Macaca fascicularis: one gene and its partner. Each later gene encodes a partner of the first gene's protein in a complex. Links are inferred from orthologs where the notes say so. Each region holds a gene or a part of one and is shown in the gene's direction. Other genes may lie near its edges.

What was found. The genes of interacting proteins can lie anywhere in the genome.
Region 2: the proteins of ESPL1 (region 1) and PTTG1 are in contact, whole or in part, in a cryo-EM structure (PDB 7NJ1), measured with the Homo sapiens proteins. The link is inferred for Macaca fascicularis from reciprocal best matches to the Homo sapiens genes ESPL1 and PTTG1. Residues at the interface, in NP_036423.4 of Homo sapiens: His402, Thr405, Val406, Tyr409, Ser461, Asn462, Tyr465, Tyr468, Arg505, Arg508, Glu512, Glu544, Thr547, Phe548, Arg551, Gln590, Lys593, Ala594, Val595, Arg596, Thr599, Gly600, Arg603, Gln634, Cys637, Tyr638, Trp683, Ile686, Glu690, Ile697; in NP_001269311.1 of Homo sapiens: Tyr111, Pro112, Glu113, Ile114, Glu115, Lys116, Phe117, Phe118, Pro119, Phe120, Asn121, Pro122, Leu123, Phe125, Glu126, Ser127, Phe128, Asp129, Leu130, Pro131, Glu132, Glu133, His134, Gln135, Ile136, Ala137, His138, Leu139, Pro140, Leu141.

Annotation. Positions count from the first base shown.
Region 1 is NC_088385.1:60,087,993-60,097,694, forward strand, and holds the end of ESPL1 (separin), read left to right. Parts: intron 1-95; coding exon 96-309; intron 310-409; coding exon 410-600; coding exon of another isoform or gene 601-656; exon of another isoform or gene 657-685; intron 686-1,086; coding exon 1,087-1,214; exon of another isoform or gene 1,215-1,216; intron 1,217-1,350; coding exon 1,351-1,473; intron 1,474-2,306; coding exon 2,307-2,462; intron 2,463-3,148; coding exon 3,149-3,319; intron 3,320-3,442; coding exon 3,443-3,547; intron 3,548-3,719; coding exon 3,720-3,835; intron 3,836-4,015; coding exon 4,016-4,099; intron 4,100-4,246; coding exon 4,247-4,411; intron 4,412-4,706; coding exon 4,707-4,908; 3' UTR 4,909-5,072; downstream 5,073-9,702. Other genes in the region: PFDN5 (prefoldin subunit 5), read left to right, coding at 7,948-8,019, 8,220-8,322, 8,625-8,656. UniProt on the Homo sapiens protein: Caspase-like protease, which plays a central role in the chromosome segregation by cleaving the SCC1/RAD21 subunit of the cohesin complex at the onset of anaphase. During most of the cell cycle, it is inactivated by different mechanisms.
Region 2 is NC_088380.1:167,188,852-167,199,320, forward strand, and holds PTTG1 (securin), read left to right. Parts: upstream 1-3,621; 5' UTR 3,622-3,658; exon of another isoform or gene 3,659-3,689; intron 3,690-4,072; 5' UTR 4,073-4,083; coding exon 4,084-4,174; intron 4,175-4,484; coding exon 4,485-4,669; intron 4,670-5,931; coding exon 5,932-6,025; intron 6,026-9,064; coding exon 9,065-9,223; intron 9,224-9,933; coding exon 9,934-10,013; 3' UTR 10,014-10,071; downstream 10,072-10,469. UniProt on the Homo sapiens protein: Regulatory protein, which plays a central role in chromosome stability, in the p53/TP53 pathway, and DNA repair. Probably acts by blocking the action of key proteins.

The DNA of each region.
Region 1 (9,702 bases):
TGGGAGATGAGATAGGGACTCTTCCTTCTTGGAAAGTTCCTGTCAACTATGAAATAAGGAATTCAGCTGTACCAAGTGTCCTGACATTCCTCTAGGTCTTTCTACCCTGGACTCCATCTGTGACTCCCTGAGTGTTGCTTTCCGGGGCATTAGTCACTGTCCTCCTAGTGGGCTCTATGCCCACCTCTGCCGCTTCCTGGCCCTGTGCCTGGGCCACCGGGATCCCTATGCCACTGCTTTCCTTGTCACCGAGTCTGTCTCCATCACCTGTCGCCACCAGCTGCTCACCCACCTCCACAGACAACTCAGGTGGGTGCCCACCATCCCCGAGACTCCTGCTGGGGCAGACTGGAGGGAGGGTCCAGACTTTGAAGGAAGGGGACCTCACCCCTCCCTGTGTTGCTTGCAGCAAGGCCCAGAAGTACCGAGGATCACTTGAAATAGCAGACCAGCTGCAGGGGCTAAGCCTTCAGGAGACGCCTGGAGATGTCCCCCTGGCCCGCATCCAGCGCCTCTTTTCCTTCAGGGCTTTGGGATCTGGCCATTTCCCCCAGCCTGAAAAGGAGAGTTTCCAGGAGCGCCTGGCTCTGATCCCCAGTGGTATGCGGGCAGGCTTCTGGCCGGCTCCTCTGTCCTCTTCTGCATCTTCTTACTGAGGAGCTGGGTGAAGGAGTTTTAGGCATTGGTTAGTTTACATAGATTTATGACCCTTATGTCATACCTTTTCACCTGTTAGCATCTTAAATCAGGAAGGTTTGTTGTTTTTTTAAACCTCAACTTTGAATTACCAGCAAATTCAGTGTCTTTCCTCAGAGGTGAGTTCAGATGCCTGGGGTCTTCTGTACTAACGTGAAACATACACATGATTTGAGCACCTCACTTTGTTAGTTCCTGTGAGAAACACAAAGTACAGGACATAGTCTCTGTGCACAGGGAGCTATTAGGCAAGGGAGAGCACTTTGACCTCCAGTGACCAAGGAAGCTTTCTTGATGCTGTCTTGAGTGATGGACAGTGATTGAGTGCCCAAGACAGAGAAGGGAATTCTTTCAACAGCTGAATGATTCTGGCTGTATCCTGTTTGTCAGGGGTGACCGTGTGTGTGTTGGCCCTGGCCACCCTCCAGCCCGGAACCGTGGGCAACACCCTCCTATTGACCCGGCTGGAAAAGGACAGTCCCCCAGTCAGTGTGCAGATTCCCACTGGCCAGAACAAGGTAGGATTCCTGGGCCATGGAGCGAAGTTGGGCTGGGTTGGACTTTGGGTCAAGCTGCTCACATTCTGTGTTGGGAGAGGGAGAGAGATGGTGATCACGTGGACAGGCAGAGCTCTCACAGCCCCATCTCCCAAAGCTTCCTCTGCGTTCAGTCCTGAATGAGTTTGATGCCATCCAGAAGGCACAGAAAGAGAACAGCAGCTGTACTGACAAGCGAGAATGGTGGACGGGGCGGCTGGCACTGGACCACAGGATGGAGGTGTGTGCTCCTGGGGTGGGGTCAGGCCTGCCCTAGGAACGACCCGGGGGGTCCCAGTGTCTTCTCTACCAGAGGGCCTGGGTCAGTGCTAAAGCCACTTCAAATCCTTTCTGGAAGTGTAGACCTAAATTTAAAAATATGTCACCGGCCGGGCGCGGTGGCTCAAGCCTGTAATCCCAGCACTTTGGGAGGCCGAGGCGGGTGGATCACGAGGTCAAGAGATCGAGACTATCCTGGCTAACATGGTGAAACCCCGTCTCTACTAAAAATACAAAAAACTAGCTGGGCGTGGTGGCGGGCGCCTGTAGTCCCAGCTACTTGGGAGGCTGAGGTGGGAGAATGGCATGAACCCGGGAGGCGGAGCTTGCAGTGAGCCCAGATCACGCCACTGCACTCCAGCCTGGGAGACACAGCGAGACTCCATCTCTCAAAAAAAAAAAATAAAAATAAAAAAATTAAAAAATTAAAAAAAATAAAAATATGTCACCTGGGGAGAACTTCAGAGCCCAGAACTTGAAGAATATATGGGAATGGATATTTAAAGATACGCAGAAAAAAAAAGGATTTAAACCCAACTATCAGCTTCCCAGTTTTAGCTTTCATTGCCCACCTGTTAATGTTTGTCACAACAGAGGGATAGATAATAGTCTATACTCTCCCAGGCTCAGAAAATGAAAAAAGTTTCTAGATTCTTGCCTTCTATGACTAACAGAAAGATACGTAAGACAGATATACACGTTGGAAAACGCACTTTCTCATCTCCAGAATGTCAGTGCCTATGAGAAAGAAGCTCAGTTTCCTCTCCAACTAAAGGGTCTGCCCTCTGCATTCAGGTTCTCATCGCTTCCCTAGAGAAGTCTGTGTTGGGCTGCTGGAAGGGGCTGCTGCTGCCGTCCAGTGAGGACCCCAGCCCTGCCCAGGAGGCCTCCCGCCTACAGGAGCTGCTACAGGAATGTGGCTGGAAATATCCTGACCCCACTCTGCTGAAAGTGAGTGAGGAAAGCAGGGAAGGGGGCCAGGCCCAGTGACTTGCACCTGTAATCCCAGCACTTTGGGAGGCCAAGGCAGGTGGATTGCTTGAGCTCAGGAGCTTGAGACCAGCCTGGCCAACATGGTGAAACCCTGTCTCTACGAAAATACAAAAATTCGCTGGGCGTGGTGGCCGGCACCTGTAATTCCAGCTACTCAGGAGGCTGTAGCAGAAGAATTGCTTGAACCTGGGAGGCAGAGGTTGCAGTGAGCCGAGATCGCTACACTCCAGCCTGGGTGACAGAGCGAGACTCCATCTACAAAAAGGACAGGCGCTGTGGCTTAGGCCTGTAATCCCAGCACTTTGGGAGGCCGAGGCGGGTGGATCTTGAGGTCAAGAGGTGGAGACCATCCTGGCCAACAGGGTGAAACCCCATCTCTACTAAAAATACAAAACTTAGCTGGGCTTGGTGGCACGTGCCTGTAGTCTCAACTACTCGGGAGGCTGAGGCAAGAGAATCACTTGAACCCGGGAGGTGAAGGTTGCAGTGAGCTGAGATTGCGCCACTGCACTCCAGCCTGGGCGACAGAGCAAGACTTTGTCTCAAAAAAAAATAAAGCAGGGAAGGGGAAGAAACTGGACTTAATCCTTTCCCAGCAGCCATCATGAATGAAGATGGTGCTCACCACCACTGTTCCCCTGCAGATCATGCTCAGTGGTGCCAGTGCCCTCACCCCTCAGGACGTTCAGGCCCTGGCCTACGGGCTGTGCCCAACCCAGCCAGAGCGAGCCCAGGAGCTCCTGAATGAGGCAGTAGGACATCTACAGGGCCTGACAGTACCAAGCAATAGCCACCTTGTCTTGGTCCTAGACAAGGTAAGGAGCTGGGGCAGAGGGGCAGTGTCTAGTGGGGAGTAAGTACCAACTCATCCCCATGCCCCTTCTGACTTCTGCATATACCTGGCTGGGGACAGTAACCTCTTAGTGCTTTTTGCCCAGGACTTGCAGAAGCTGCCGTGGGAAAGCATGCCCAGCCTCCAGACACTGCCTGTCACCCGGCTGCCCTCCTTCCGCTTCCTACTCAGCTACTCCATCATCAAAGAGGTGAGGTTCAGGGAGTGGTGTCTGGGGATGACTGGCAATTGGGGAAGACCTCAACAAAAGGGCAGAGAAACCTGGGAAGAGAGGAGAGGGTTCTAGGAATGGCTCAGACATGGAAAGGGGCTTGGGCCTCTTGGTGAGACAAGCATCCTAATCACCAGTGTCTCCTCCTCAGTATGGGGCCTCGCCAGTGCTGAGTCAAGGGGTGGATCCGCGAAGTACCTTCTATGTCCTGAACCCTCACAATAACCTGTCAAGCACAGAGGAGCAATTTCGAGCCAATTTCAGCAGGTCAGGGGCACAAAGACAAGAAGAGGAGTGGGGAAGGGTAGACAACATACAGGGGCAGCAAGCCTTTTCTCCAGAAACAGCTGTTGCAGCCCACCTTCTATTTAATGATCCCTCTGCCGTCTTTGCCATCTGACCCCTGCCATGCATTTCCCTATTCTCACTCCCGCCTTTTCCCTGCAGTGAAGCTGGCTGGCGAGGAGTGGTTGGGGAGGTGCCGAGACCCGAACAGGTGCAGGAAGCCCTGACAAAGCATGATTTGTATATGTGAGTGCTTAAGGCAGGGATGTGGGGAGAGGGCAGTCCTGAGGATGGTATCACCATGGGTCGCTTTGGGACTTGAGAGCCTCTGGAGACAAAGGCAGAGGCCAGGTACTGCTAGCTCAAGACTCATCTCACCTCCTTCTGCCTTAGCTATGCAGGGCATGGGGCTGGTGCCCGCTTCCTTGACGGGCAGGCTGTCCTGCGGCTGAGCTGCCGGGCAGTGGCCCTGCTGTTTGGCTGTAGCAGTGCGGCCCTGGCTGTGCATGGAAACCTGGAGGGGGCTGGCATCGTGCTCAAGTACATCATGGCTGGTTGGTGAGTCTCCAAGGGCAAGACCCATCCTAGGGCACTAAGACTCCTGCCCTCACCCCAGGTTCTTTCCCAGGTCTGAATCCTGCCTCTCTTGTGCCCCATTTTCCTCCTATCTCTAGTTCCCTGGCATGCCTGGACCATTTAACCCTTAGCTCCCGTCTATTCTTCTCTTGTAACCAAGGGCCAAAGGAATTTCTCATTGGTTCAGTCCTCTCTACTCACCCACCCCACCACCAATGGTGTTTTCCTATGTATTCTGTTTTAGAGCCCTTACTTTGTATTTCTTTTCTTTTCCCAGCCCCTTGTTTCTGGGTAATCTCTGGGATGTGACTGATCGTGATATTGACCGCTACACGGAAGCTCTGCTGCAGGGCTGGCTTGGAGCAGGCCCGGGGGCCCCCCTTTTGTACTATGTAAACCAGGCCCGCCAGGCTCCCCGACTCAAGTATCTTATTGGGGCTGCACCTATAGCCTATGGCTTGCCTGTCTCTCTGCGGTAACCCCATGGAGTTGTCTTATTGATGCTAGAAGCCTCATACCTGTTCTACCTCCAAGGTTAGATTTAATCCTTAGGATAACTCTTTTAAAGTGACTTTCCCCAGTGTTTTATATGAAACATTTCCTTTTGATTTAACTTCAATATAATAAAGATACATCACTTAAACCTTGTTTTGTGTAGTTTATCTGAGAACATTTAAAGACATGTCATGACTGCCCCCCTTCCTGCTATGTGGTACTGTAAGCTGACAGGAACAGCTTATAGGAGATCAAGTTTGAGTGCCTAGGTAAGAAAGACAAAGACACAGGACAAAGCCTGCTGGGCCTGGCTGGACCTCAGCAGACAAATCTGGAGGAGAAAGGGGCATCAAAATTCTAAGTAGAGACAGGCCCAATGAAGGGTAGTAATAGACCCGTTGAGTGTTTTGGCCAGGTACCATCCGTCCATCCTTTCTTCCTGCCTCAGGTATCCTTGGAGTGGCACTAGTGTTTTTTTTTGTTTGTTTGTTTTGAGACAGTCTTGCTCTGTTGCCCAGGCTGGAGTGTAGTGGCACAATCTTGGCTCACTGCAACCTCTGCGTGCCGGGTTCAAGCGATTCTCCTGCTTCAGCCTCCCGAGTAGCTGGGACTACAGGCACATGCCACCATGTCCCACTAATTTTTGTATTTTTAGTAGAGGCAGGGTTTCACCATATTGGCCAGGCTGGTCTCAAACTCCTGACCTTGTGATCCGCCCTTCTCAGCCTTCCAAAAGTGCTGGGATTACAGGCGTGAGTCACCGTGCCCAGCCATGGCACTAGTTTTAATGCCTCAGTTGCCCTGCCTCCCTCCTAAGTAGATGTTAAAGGCTACTGCTGTCTGCCCATGTACACATGTTACACTTACCAATGCGTAACTTTAGCAGTAGAGTCTGTGGATCTGTGGAGTTCTAGTGTGGTTTTTCTCTCCAGTTGTTAAGCTCAAGGGAAGCAAATGTCTTACTCTCACGTATTCCTCACATATAGCACATGGTAAAACTTTTTTTTTTTTTTTTTGAGACAGTCTGGCTCTGTTGCCCAGGCTGGAGTGCAGTGGCGCATCTCAGCTCACTGCAAGCTCCGCCTCCCGGGTTCACGCCATTCTGCCTCAGCCTCCCCAGTAGCTGGGACTACAGGCGCTCGCCACCATGCCTAGCTAATTTTTTGTATTTTTATTAGAGATGGGGTTTCACCATGTTAGCCAGGATGGTCTCGATCTCCTGACCTCGTGATCTGCCTGCCTCGGCCTCCCAAAGTGCTGGGATTACAGGCGTGAGCCACTGTGCCAGGTTTTTTTTTTTTTTTTTAGAGACAGAGTCTAGCTCTGTTGCTAGAGTGCACAATCACAGCCTACTACAGCCTCCAACTCTCCAGCTCAAGCAATCCTCCCACCTCAGCCTCCCGTGTAGCTAGGACTACAGGCATATGCCACCAGCCCGGCTAATTTTTGTATTTTTTGTTGAGACGGGGTGTCGCCATGTTGCCCAGGCTGGCCTCAAACTCCTGGGCTCAAGTGATCTGCCCTTCTCGGCCTCCCAAAGTGCTGGGATTGCAGGAATGAGCCACCATGCCTGGCCAAAACATTTTATTGATTAATTTGTGCTCTATGTGTTGACAATGGTGCTTCCTTGCTGTTCTCCCACCAACTCACTGGCAACGGGTTATAAACCCTTTTTCAGATCCTACTAGGTGTCAGCCTACTTCCGGCTGGGGGAAGATGGTCATAGCTAGAGGGGAAGAATTAGTTCAGTGATGAGAACATGGTTGGTTCCTGCCTTCAACAAGCTTTCAATCTAATGCCTGATTTTTTTTTTTTTTTTTTTTTTTTTTGAGACGGAGTCATGCTCTGTCGCCCAGGCTGGAGTGCAGTGGCCGGATCTCAGCTCACTGCAAGCTCCGCCTCCCGGGTACACGCCATTCTCCTGCCTCAGCCTCCCAAGTAGCTGGGACTACAGGCGCCCGCCACTTCGCCCGGCTAGTTTTTTGTATTTTTTAGTAGAGACGGGGTTTCACCGTGTTAGCCAGGATGGTCTCGATCTCCTGACCTCATGATCCGCCCGTCTCGGCCTCCCAAAGTGCTGGGATTACAGGCTTGAGCCACCGCGCCCGGCCATGCCTGATTTTTTCAAGAACAATTCAGAACGGTCTGACAAGGGATTTTTTTGTTGTTGTTATTTGTTTTTTTTTCCCTGCCTTTCGGCCTCAGAGGCCATCTGGGAAAAATAGTTTAGAATTTCCCTGCCATGGCCGGGCGCGGTGGCTCAAGCCTGTAATCCCAGCACTTTGGGAGGCCGAGACGGGCGGATCACTAGGTCAGGAGATCGAGACCATCCTGGCGAACACGGTGAAACCCCGTCTCTACTAAAAAATACAAAAAACTAGCCGGGCGAGGCGGCGGGCGCCTGTAGTCCCAGCTACTCGGGAGGCTGAGGCAGGAGAATGGCGTAAACCCGGGGGGCGGAGCTTGCAGTGAGCTGAGATCCGGCCACTGCACTCCAGCCCGGGCGACAGAGCCAGACTCCGTCTCAAAAAAAAAAAAATAAAATAAAAAATAAAGAATTTCCCTGCCATTTCCCTGCTGTGCGGGGAGGAATATTTGAAATCGGACCTGGCGGGGTACCAGCAGGCAGCACAAGCAGGTGGGGTAGAGAGGGGCAGGACGAGGCCCCAGGAGCCGTCACCATAGCAACCCAGCCTGCTATCTAGTAGCTTATACCACCCACGTGGAGTAGCATACACTACTTTGTAATATCGTGGTTGTATCGTGAGAACTTTAAGATTTTGCAGTTCCCTATGGGCAGGAGTCCTGTTTGCTGCTACTTTACTGTACTAGGCTTAGAATATTTTATGAAAATAACTGACAGATCAGCCTCTGAGAAATTCAAGCCCCTCCTTCCCTTCCGGGACGGAGGATCATAGAGCTGTATGGCGCAGCGAGGCCTCCTGGCGCCATCGAGACGCGCAGAGGACGGCTAGAGCGTTGCTCGCCGAGGGACTTCCTCTTCGTTAGTCCTCCTTCCCAACATGGCGCAGTCTATTAACATCACGGAGCTGAATCTGCCGCAGCTAGAAATGCTCAAGAACCAGCTGGACCAGGTAGTGACGGGCCCCATAGGCACCTCTTTCCCGCTCTACATCCCCCTTGCCCACGCGTACTTCCTTGCGCCCGGTCCCAAGTTGGGAGCCTACCTTGCCCAGGCGAAACCTCTATCCGGTCCCAGGACCCGCCCCCTCCCCGGCCGCTCTCCCTTTTCCCCATAGCCCTCTCATTGACCCGCTATACCCGTCCTCTGTAGGAAGTGGAGTTCTTGTCCACGTCCATTGCCCAGCTCAAAGTGGTACAGACCAAGTATGTGGAAGCCAAGGACTGTCTGAACGTGCTGAACAAGAGCAACGAGGGTATGGGGTAGGGGGGTGAGGGCAACCTAAAGTGGCAAGCCTGCTTCTCTCGTCCCACCTCCTAATCCAGTTTTTCTTACCTGAAACGAGAAAATCCATTACATATCGTATACCGCTTCATGAACCCTTTGCATGTTGCCTACCTAGAATTGAAATGTACAAGACGTTCCTCTGCTTCTATTGCCCCTGTTTCCGTTCTTTTCACACTGTCTGTGGGTGCTGTGCCCTCTTGGAACTCTCTTTAACGTCTTACATTGGAGCCACTAACCTTCCCCAGGTGTTTGTCTTCATTGCTTTCACAGGGAAAGAATTACTTGTCCCACTGACGAGTTCTGTATCCTTTCCACAGGAACGGCTACCTGCTGCCTTCTCCCTTTCTCCCTCACTCCTCCAAAAAGCAGGGAGGGGGATTGTTTTGATTACTTCAGTACTTCAGATTATCCTCTCCCCACAATGATTTTGATAACACCCTTTTTTTTTTTTAAAGACGGAATCTTGCTCTGTCGCCCAGACTGGAGTGCAGTGGTGCGATCTCGGCTCACTGTAACCTCCGCCTCCTGGGTTCAAGAGATTCTTCTGCCTCAGTCTCCTGAGTAGCTGGGACCGCAGGCACGCGCCACCACGACTGGCTAATTTTTGTATTATTAGTAGAGATGGAGTTTCACCATATTGGCCAGGCTAGTCTCGAACTCCTGACCTCGTGATCTGCCTGCCTTGGCCTCCCAAAGTGCTAGGATTACAGGCGTGAGCCACTGCCCCCGACCAAGAGTACTCTTATTACACACTTTGTAGCTCTTTTATCTAACTTCACACCAACATCCAGCTAATGCCTTGTGAACACCAAGGAGTATGTATAGTTGAGATGTAATATTTCCCTTTGCTATTTGAGAACATTAATATGGAGATAAAGCTGGTGGTTTACACTTTGCTAATATCTTAGAAGATATAGGTAATAGACAAAAATAGGAGGATATAGGAACAGGGAGGTTGGCTCTGTTAATTGTGGCTCATTTCTAAACTGTCACTAAGAAACCTGGATTGTGTCCACTTGTTCAGTGTTTTACTTGAATGAACAAGTTATGGCAGTAGGGCACCTTTAATCTGTAGTCTGAGAACTGACAGGCTAAAAGGAGCACAGGAATAGTAGTGTAGTAGGGAATGGTTAAAAAAAAAATTAGGCCGGGCGCGGTGGCTCAAGCCTGTAATCCCAGCACTTTGGGAGGCCGAGATGGGCGGATCACGAGGTCAGGAGATCGAGACCATCCTGGCTAACACGGTGAAACCCCGTCTCTACTAAGAAATACAAAAAATAGCCGGGCGAGGTGGCAGCGCCTGTAGTCCCAGCTACTCGGGAGGCTGAGGCTGGAGAATGGCGTGAAC
Region 2 (10,469 bases), on another chromosome or scaffold:
AATCTTCACAATAAGCCCAGTAGATAGGTCTGATGAACCCCATTTTACAGGGAAGAAACAGGTTCTGAGAGGTAAGATCCTCAGCCAAGAGCATATTGTAGTAAGAAACAAGGACTTCAAACACAAGTCTGACTCCAGAGTCAGTTCTCTAAAAACAGTATGTTATACTCTGTCCATAGAACATTGGCTTCTGGGCCTGAAATATTAAAAACTAAAACTGAATGAAGTAATATAGTCACCAAGTTGTACTCACTCGTTTCCGTCGCTGTGAAGGGGCCTATTTTCTTCAACTAAAAACAGTAATAGCTCTCACTTACTGAGGGCTTACCGTAAGACAGTGTTTAGAGATTTACTTATATAGATGTTTTCACTTATATCCGCATGATACCCCACTGAAGTCAGATCATCTCGACTTAACAGGAAAAACTGAAGCTTAAGTAAATTTTTCTGGCGAGGAAATACAGTCTATCAAATTGGGTACTGGAAGCAGCTTTCCCCGCTCGCAGTCCGGGGATCGCTCAGGGTCTTCAAGGCCACCGCCACAAAGGTGACACTCTCATAGTTATCCCGACTGTTTCCCTGAAGACGCAGGCCTGGTCTGGCTGGGCACGAGTGCCATCAATGGGGCTCAGGACAGTGGCTTCCTTTTCGGTCCGCCGTCCTCGCTCCCTCCTCAACAACTGAGGGCTCATTACCCCCGTGAGGACATATCCAATAATTAGGAGCCTTCGACCCATTTTCTCAGGTTCCCCAATTCCCCTTCGCCCGAAAGTTCTAAAAATATTTTCTTACCCAGTCCCGCCGCAGCTGGTCTCAAGTCCATCCGAGACAAGCCAATCTCGTAATGTTTACTTCCGGCTTTTCGCCTCATTCCGGCGGCCACTGCGGTAACTTCCGGACGATCGGCACATGCGCACTAATTTCCTGGTGGGACGCGGGAGGAGTGGAGGCCTTTGGTCCTCTTGCGCCGTGGGAATCGCGAGAACTCTAGCTGTGCTTATCGCGCTATTTACCCGGCTTGTGGAGAGATTCAAGTTGGGCGGGTTCTTTTAGCTTCTATTTAGGAACTTTCTTTTAGAATCGGAGAATTTTAGGAAGTTAAAAAAAAAAAAACCAAAACAGACAAGAGCTTAAGCCTCACCAGGGGGCTGTGAAATGAATGCAGAATTTGGTGATGTATCAGCTTAAAAAAAAAAAAAAAGGCAGTTAAACTTGGCAGTAACTAGTAGCCAGGCTGTGTAACATGCTGGGGATCTGGTGAACACAGTGTCTTCCCTCAAATTTACATCAGAGTGCGAAAGACACCGAAACAACTATTCAGGTAATTTAGCAGTTGTAAAAGTTGCTATGAAAGGAATACCGGGTGCTGTAAGAACATAAGGCACGTTATCATTAGGAAAAAACACGACGATTTCCATTTTGGAGAAACATTAGTATCTATGCTATCCCATCCCTTCTTTAAAAGTATACATGTGAAATAAAATACTGGAAAATAAACTAATTTTCGTAGTAGAATTTCTTGTGATTTTTTTTTCTTTGTGCTTTCTATTCTGGTTGTTCTCCCCCTCCCCCCCCATAACGTGTATCGTTTTTGAATGTAAAAGTTAAAATAGCTACCATTCCTGCCTCAATAAAATAGCCCAACATAATAGAATCTATTTTTTTCGTATTAACAATTTGCAATACCTGGAGTTTAGGAGCATAAATATTAATTCTGCTTTTACAGGGCAGTAGATGAAGAAACAGAGACTGGCGTGAAAGTGAGTAGAGTCTATAAATCACTCAGGCTTTGTTTTTTTCCACTTAAAAACATTCCTGAAATTTGCTTAGGAGTGTTAAGGTCTAATTAGCCAAAACCACCAGGAGAGCACATCTCGAAGAAGAATCAGAAAGCCCAGGACAAGAGAGTTGAATCTTTTCTAAGACTTGAGGTCCCTCTGGAGGATTCTGAGGAAGGTCTAGGAAAGCCGGGATTGGTTCTGGATGGGTTGCTGTTTGTAAAGCAGGATTAGGAGAAACTGATTAGGGACTAAGTGCTGTTATGAGTGAGGGTGGTTTAGCAATTGAGTATTTTCAGTAATAGTAATAGCAAAGCTGGTCTGAGGGCATCATTAGTAAGAAAACAGTGGTTATTCAAAGAGAGGGTGGTTATGGTTTACAGCTGATGCATGGCCTTGGGAGAAACAATGCTTTCTGTTGGTGAAACAAAGAAGACATCCTAAGGAGATAAACCTTGCACCCCAAAACTTCTGTAGATAGAGAATCCCCACTTCGAAGCTATAGGTGTTGTAAAGATTTAGTCTCAAAAATTAACACTTTGAGTGCTGATAATATAATATGATGATGTAAAATTTAGGAGATACAGGAGGAAATAAGGGGTGGGAATAAAGGAAAGAGAGCAGTGAAGGGACAATAAAGGTATGCATATTTTTATGTCTTTCCTCTTTTCTTCACCTTAAGTTAGGCTCTTTTCTTCTTGATACCTAGTATAAAGTCCACCATTTAATAGGTATTCAATAAATATTTGTGAATGAATGAATCATTCAATCAATATTGGTCCTGAAATGCCAGGGAAGAAGAGATGATGAACTGGCATATATTGAGAACCATGTCTATGTCAGGTATAGTGTTAAGCCTTTTGTGAAAGAGTAATATGGAATCAACTCCTCTCTCTCAGCTGATCTGCAGGTATAAAATGTATATATGGTGACCTGTGGGAAGCCGAGTTTGAATGACACAGGTCAGCCCTATCTTTTGAATGTATACCTTTATCTTGTGGTTGTTCAGTGTATTCCATTTTACTATAGAAACAGGAAAAGGTCGTCAACTTTTTCAAGCAAAATTTCTTTTCATATCTGGGAAACTGGAATTCCTTTTTTATATCTTTATTATCTCTCTGATGTTCTCTTGCTCCCTGGCCAAGCTCTTCCAGACAGCTTTGGTTAGTGTATTATTGAGATCTTAGAGGTTTAAAATAAATCAGTATTAAATGATAGGATTTTAAGGGAAGACTAAATTATGTATTCATTAGAATCATAATTTTGTTCCTAAAACAGATTCGTGATGGTATAACAGAAACAGCATCTTAGCCTGAAGTATTGAGGATAATCCTCAGATTAGGGAATGATTAGTTCGTTCTTAATCATAAGCATAAGAGAATGACTCAAACGCTGCTGTTTGATCTATCTGTACTTAAATTTCTTCTTAATTTTAAATTTTTCTCTCCTAGTATTCTTTAGACCCAACGTTGGTTGTTTCGACCATTTCTACAATATTTCTATTTATTTTCCATCCTTTCTACGGTGCCATTTAAATAAATATATCTTAAAGCAATAAAACATTGTTATTGAGTCAGTACCACAGTCCATGCAGCTTAATAATATGGAGAGCAAAAAAAAAGCCTCTCAATTTTTTTTTAAAATATTACACGACCCTAGATTTTTTTCCCCAGAAAACGTGCCACAAAGTTTGCAAGAAAGAGCTTTTGGGGCGGAGTCCTGGCTGCTTAGGTCCCTTCCATTGGTTCGGCTTGGTGACCACGCCCCCGACCCCGCCTCTTGAGCGGAAGAGCCAATTGGGCCGCGAGTTGTGGTTTAAACCGGGAGTGCGCCGCGTCCGTTCACCGCCGCCTTAGACGAATGTAGCTGTTGGAAGCTGCGTGAGTGAACTGGAGGGTTGCGGCTGTTTAGGTGAGCGTGGTCGGGTGGGGAAGGAGGCGGGCTGGGGCTGGGCTGGGGCTGAAGCTGGGGCTGGGGCTGGGGTTGGGGGACTGCCTGGGGCGTAGATGGCTCCGAGCCTGTTTGAGCGCGGTCTCGGACTGCGAACTGGACCCACGGCAATTCTCTGAAGAGTGCCAGCCCCAAACCGCCTGCTCCTTGGGACCTTAGAGCCTCTGACTCAGGCTGGAAGATTTGAGAGCTGGATTAAGTACTTGTTGGCTCACGCCCGTGACTGTCCCGCTGTTTAGCTCTTGTTTTTGTGTGGACATCCCTAGGATAAAAACTTTGGTATGTTGCTATACCTTTGCTTCTCCCACCTTCCCCAGTATCTAATATGTATTTCTCATTTTTAGAATAATCCAGAATGGCTACTCTAATCTATGTTGATAAGGAAAATGGAGAACCAGGCACCCGTGTGGCTGCTAAGGATGGGCTGAAGTTGGGGTCTGGACCTTGTAAGTACACAAGGCTGCAGTCGGATACACTGCTATTGTGTACGTGGCCTGGAGCTGGACGAGACATTTAGTGTACTTTTTGGGCAAATGGAGTCAAGTCTGTTATTGGTCCTTTTTCATTTTCAGTATCTTAATGAGATGATTTATGGGAGTACTGAATCTCAGCTATTAGGCCTATCGTAGCCATACCACTACCAATAATGGGGGGTGGGTTTGGGGGTGAGAGTTAGGTCAAGTTTACATACACAGTATTCAAGTTGTACAGGTATTTTGCTGCTGGAATATTCTTATAGTAAGACTTTTTCTTCAGCAATCAAAGCCTTAGATGGGAGATCTCAAGTTTCAACACCACGTTTTGGCAAAACGTTCGATGCTCCACCAGCCTTACCTAAAGCTACAAGAAAGGCTTTGGGAACCGTCAACAGAGCTACAGAAAAGTCTGTAAAGACCAAGGGACCCCTCAAACAAAAACAGCCAAACTTTTCTGCCAAAAAGGTAAGTGTTGGCTATAAAGACACTGTTTAAACACTTAAGCGCTTTTGACTCTTAAAATGACGATTGGCATCATCCTACCCAGCTTTCTTCCCTCTGAGTAGAAGGGAGATAGAGGTTAGCAAGCAGAGTAGTGGAGGAAACTCAGATTGTCCTTGTGGACCTCTTGGTGCCTTGAGATTGGAAATCTCAGATGCAGCTAATGCATATTTGTCCCTCACCTGTCCTTAACTAGTGTCTTAAAACTGGTTGGTGGTATCTACTTACAGATACGTACTGAGCGAGAGGGTGCCTTAAGAGGTTCTGTTGCTGCTATAATAGCACAGGTGTTGCCATTCTCCGCCTAGCCTTCCAGGGCAAGCAGCAGCTTGTTAGGTGACAATTTGCTAGCATGTTGATGTTTGTGTGAGTGTGGGTCACAAGCTACAGGTCTGTGTATCCCAGACTGAGAGCACTTTGCTGTGAAAGATGACGTTAGCATGAGGATTAACACTTTATTTGAATAACTGTTTTGTTTAATTTGCATTAGGAAACAACTGGTGAATTACATGTAGTGCAACTTAGGACAAGGATGTCTTTTTAAAAAAGTGAATTAACTTAAAAATATTAAATACAGGAATTGCAAAGATATGGCAAAAACAATGAGACACAGAACCGAAGTGTGGGAACCCCATAGGGAGTTCTAGGCATGCTTATGTGAGGTGAGATAAATCAGGAATATGCCGGCTTCCATTGTAGCACCCTTCTGTAGTAGACTGTAGTAGACCCGTCAACTCCAGACTAGGAGATTGCCCATGGCGTTTTTCTAAAGTCCTTGACAGTGTCTTGCTGCCTCTTACTCAGTGTATTTGAGGAACACAAACTTGTTTTTAATATTAACCAAGTACATAATTAGGTAACACTTGCAGAAAAATCACACTCCTATAAGCCAAAAATGGCTTTGATGATTAGCTACTATCCTGGGTGATTCATGCCCGTTTTCTCCTCTGTTAGGTTGAATAATTGCGTTGATTAGCTCTGAATTAACTCTGCATTCTTGATAACTTACGCTGACAGGTGCTGGTACTTACATTTCAGATTTTAACTTTTGAGTCATGCTACTCGAATTACATTTGAATCATATTATTTGAAGTATATTTAGGTGTAATTATGAAAACTAAGGATTATGGCTTCTTAGAAGGCAGCATGAAATTGACAAATTTAAAAACTAATCAGCTAATAAGACATCCACTCTCACTAACCCATATTTTCTTTGGCTGTTCTAGATGACTGAGAAGACTGTTAAAACAAAAAGTTCTGTTCCTGCCTCAGACGATGCCTATCCAGAAATAGAAAAATTCTTTCCCTTCAATCCTCTAGGTAGTATCTTTTGTAATTGCAAAAAGTGCTTTTGGCCTTTAGTTTCTTAGTATTCAGCTCAGCTGTAACTTGATATGAATATAATATATGACCAAAAACTATAATGAGACTGTCTGAATCTGGGTCGTTTTGGACAAATGTACTTGTTGATGGAATTATTTGCAAGGTATCATCTTAGATCAGGAGGGGAATAGGAACAAAGATACAGAAGACATTGTTCCTGTCTGTAAAAGCTTATCACCTAGAGGAGGTAAGATGTATTCATGAATATTGAATAAGTCCCATTGTGGACAGTCTTTCTCACAAGCCTTTTAGAAAGTGAGCTTTATGTCAATGCCTGAGAGTGCTTTGGTAGGATTATTTCTTTGGTTAGAAAAATCTACATAAGACAGTGAAGACGTGTTTTTCAAATTTCTTCAACCTGCTACATGTATCTGAAGTATTTTCTGTTTTGGAAACAGCTTTTCAAGCTTTAATTTACTCAGCCATTTGAGGAGAAGCCACTGTGTGTCAGGCATCGCTAGGTGCTGGACACACTGTTTAACAAGATGGGCCCTGCCTATGGGAGCCCACAATTTGAAGGGAAAGTCAGATGCTGGACAAGCCATCTCACTGTGAGTGTGAGCCGGAAAAAAGAGCATTGTAGGTCAAAGTGGTGCAAAGATCCTGAGGTAGGAAAAGGGACTGAAGTGGTTCTAGGAAAAATACAGGCACGGTGAAGGAGGATACAGGTGAGGTGTGGGGGCAGATCAGGGAGGGCCTTACAGATTTCTGAGCTGGATCTTTTACCCTTTTATTTAGCCAAAGAGGTCATGTAGTTATTCTTTTACTAATTTGCATTCAGATTGTTCTGGCTTTTAGAAACTAGAAACATTTCTACGATTAGTATTCTTGAAATGATCTCGTTGCAAGTTTGTGAGTACATCAGGAGGGAAACTGAGAAGGATTGCTGGGTTCGAGGGTTTGTGTGATTAAGTTTTAAAATTATAAAATGTGGTGCATCGTGCTAATAATTATCATTCAGCCATTGGGAAAAATGAGGTAGATTTATGCATATTGATCAAGAATGAAGACCACAGTATCCTGTGTTAGAGGAAAGAGATATTGCTAAGTGGCCCTTCAAAATAGTGTAAATTGTTAAATCCATCTACAGTGGATGAAGATGGCTGCTTCCTCCATGTTCACTATCAATGTTTTAAAACTCTAATCTTTATCAGAAAAGAAATATTTTATTGTTTTAAATTTGTGTGGTGAGCATATTTGATTATTGGCCACTTAGTTTTTCTTTTATTAACTTCCTGTTTGTGTTTTTCTTTGATTAAAGAGCTCTTTGTAGATAAAATTAGCTCCCCTTAGATTGCAGACTTCTTTCCTCTGGAGTCTTTTGTCTGTTTATGATTTCCTTTACAATTCAGTAGTTTTAAGCTAAATAGTCACATATCATTCAATTCTTTCTTGACTTCTGGGTTTTACCAGGCTTGAAAAAGAGCAGACTAATTCTTGAGTACTTAGGCTTTAGAGAACTTTCATACCTAAGGACAAAGATTTAGAAATTAAAACTGAAAAACTTAAGATATTCACTAAGTAATCACATTACATTAATGTAAATTTTTTTTAACATAAAATATTTGTTTTGGAAAAGTTTTGAGAAGAATGGCATGGTTTCTATTTTTGAAAAATATATGAAGAAAACCTGACCTCACACAGATATGTTTTTAATAGTCTTTTCAGATAAGCGTGGATAGTTTTCTTTGCCACTACACTAAAACCCACAAGTGGCTGTTTCTGAATATATAATTGCAATGTGGAATCTGAAAGCATATCAATGAGCATTTTGTATCTTGACAGTAAAATCCATCGGTCTGTTTTGCACTTGGAGTGTATCTTTTATTCTTGCATCTATCTTGCATTGAGCATTCAGAAATATTGATTCACTGAGATATGTAGATACTCATATGTTGAGATTATATAATATCAAAAGCACATTAATATCACAACTGATCTCATCAGAAAAGTCTAAGGCACCTGTCAAGCTAATGACTGCAGTTAAGTGTTCCAAAATTCCTTCTTTTGGCCAGACACAGTGGCTCATGCCTGTAATCCCAGCACTTTGGGAGGCAAGGCTGGCAGATCCCCTGAGGTCAGGAGTTCAAGACCAGCCTGGCCAACATGGTGAAACCCCGTCTCTACTAAAAATACAAAAATTATCCGGGCGTGGTGGGCGCGCCTGTAATCCCAGCTACTTGGGAGACTGAGGCAGGAGAATTGCTTGAACCCGGGAGGCAGAGGTTGCAGTGAACAGAGATTGTGCCACTGCACTGCAGCCTGGGTGAAAGAGTGAGACTGTGTCTCAAAAAAAAAAAAATTCATTTTTTGGTTTTTGACAAAATTTTGACATTTTATATTCTGCCGTTGGTAACAAAGCCTGTCAGTTTTCCTTGAGGTGATGGACTTCTTTCATGCCTTTGAGAAAAAGTGTGACAGGCATCCAGGTCTGAGTGACCATGGGATTTCTTGCAGTTGTTAATTCAAGTAAAAACAGTATTCCAGGAAAAAGTTCTCTAGTTTTAGCTTGCAACTCAGACAATTGCACAAATCCTTTTGCTTTGAGATAATCGTATTTTGGTGTGCAGTGGAAGTGCTTTATGGCATACTTCTCATTTTATCACATAGAACATTAAAAAGACATCTTCTCAAGGATGGAGAGCTAATAAAATTAATACATTCTACTGCATATGGTGAAGTGACATTAAGTGAAACTGGCATTTTTAAACTACAAGTGCAGAAAGATGCAGAACATAGAGACTGCTCCTATGGTTTACTGTCACTGCCTTGATTTGTGTTGAGGCACCAGCAGCTTTATCCACCATTGCCTTGGTACCATCATCACAAATGTCAACCCAGTGGGAAAAGGTGTGAATATTGTCATGAAAATAGTTTTGACCTCATGGACCCCCTGAAAGTGTCTCAGACCACAAGGAGTCTACAGCCCACACTGAGAACTGCTGCTCTGACAAAAACACTTTCTCTCTGTAACAGACTTTGAGAGTTTTGACCTGCCTGAAGAGCACCAGATTGCGCACCTCCCCTTGAGTGGAGTGCCTCTCATGATCCTTGACGAGGAGAGAGAGCTTGAAAAGCTGTTTCAGCTGGGCCCCCCTTCACCTGTGAAGATGCCCTCTCCACCATGGGAATCCAGTAAGTGAGCAAGTGCCCTTCTAGAAGGGCTGCAAACAATTTGTTTCATAACACTTCCATTACCGTGGGAACAAAGTTGTGCGGGAGGTGAGCCTGTGAGTCATTTCTGTCCTTCAAATGACAAGGATAAGGTTTCAGAAAAATAAACTATTCTCAATTGGTATTGCTTTTTGGTCCCAAATGCCCCAGTAAAATTGTTATTCTGGAAACTGGGTAGTCTTAATTAAAAGATTAATTCTCACATCTTCTTAGGCTGTAAGTTGAAGCATATATAATAAACTTGTTTGGAATGATGATTCCATGTTATATCCAAAGCTAATATAAGATCCAAACACCTGTGCTGTGGCATAGACTGACAATAATTTCTTACTGCAGAAGGTTTGAGGTCTTTGTTTGAACGGGTAGTCAAAGCCATCATTATGTTTTCTGTTTGTTCTGATGTGGGATAATTTGTGCTAATAAGTTACATGAGTGAGACTGTTAGCTCTTACTTTGGTCTCTAAGAGATTCAGATACTTATAAGACTTACTTCCTAATGAAAGTCAATTCTGGGGCCACAGACATATTCCAAAAAGTGTGTGTCAGGAGGGGATGGAGGTGATTGATCAGACAAAGGGAAAAACATGAGTTTTTGACAGCTGATATCTATGTTGATATGGACAATGACTCAACGATTTGCAGAAATTTAATAAGAGATTCCTGTTTTCTAGATCTGTTGCAGTCTCCTTCAAGCATTCTGTCGACCCTGGATGTTGAATTGCCACCTGTTTGCTGTGACATAGATATTTAAATTTCTTAGTGCTTCAGAGTTTGTGCGTATTTGTATTAATAAAGCATTCTTTAACAGATTCTTCCAAGTATTGTGTTTGCTTTTCCGTGGAGTTTACTTAAAACAATATGAAAGCTAGCCGAGGTGTTTAACAAAGAGTCTATAATGTGACAATAGAGATTTGTCTGATTTCTAAAAACTTAAATCCTTTTGGTTTAACAGCTTATTTTAGAAGCCACCACTGTTTTTCCTGAAAAGTGTACCCCTCAATGTATACTTTATTGACTTTGTGGCCATTAACTAGTGACAGTTATTAGATCTCTTAATTAGAAGAGCTCCTTCCAACTCATTAAGTATCTATTGCTAGGCATTCTTTATTGCTGGTTTGCCTTAGTTTCTAATGACTTTAATACTCAGTATTGAAAGGCTGTAAATCTGAGAATTCAGCCTCCTTGGGATCTTCAATTAGGTTCCTTA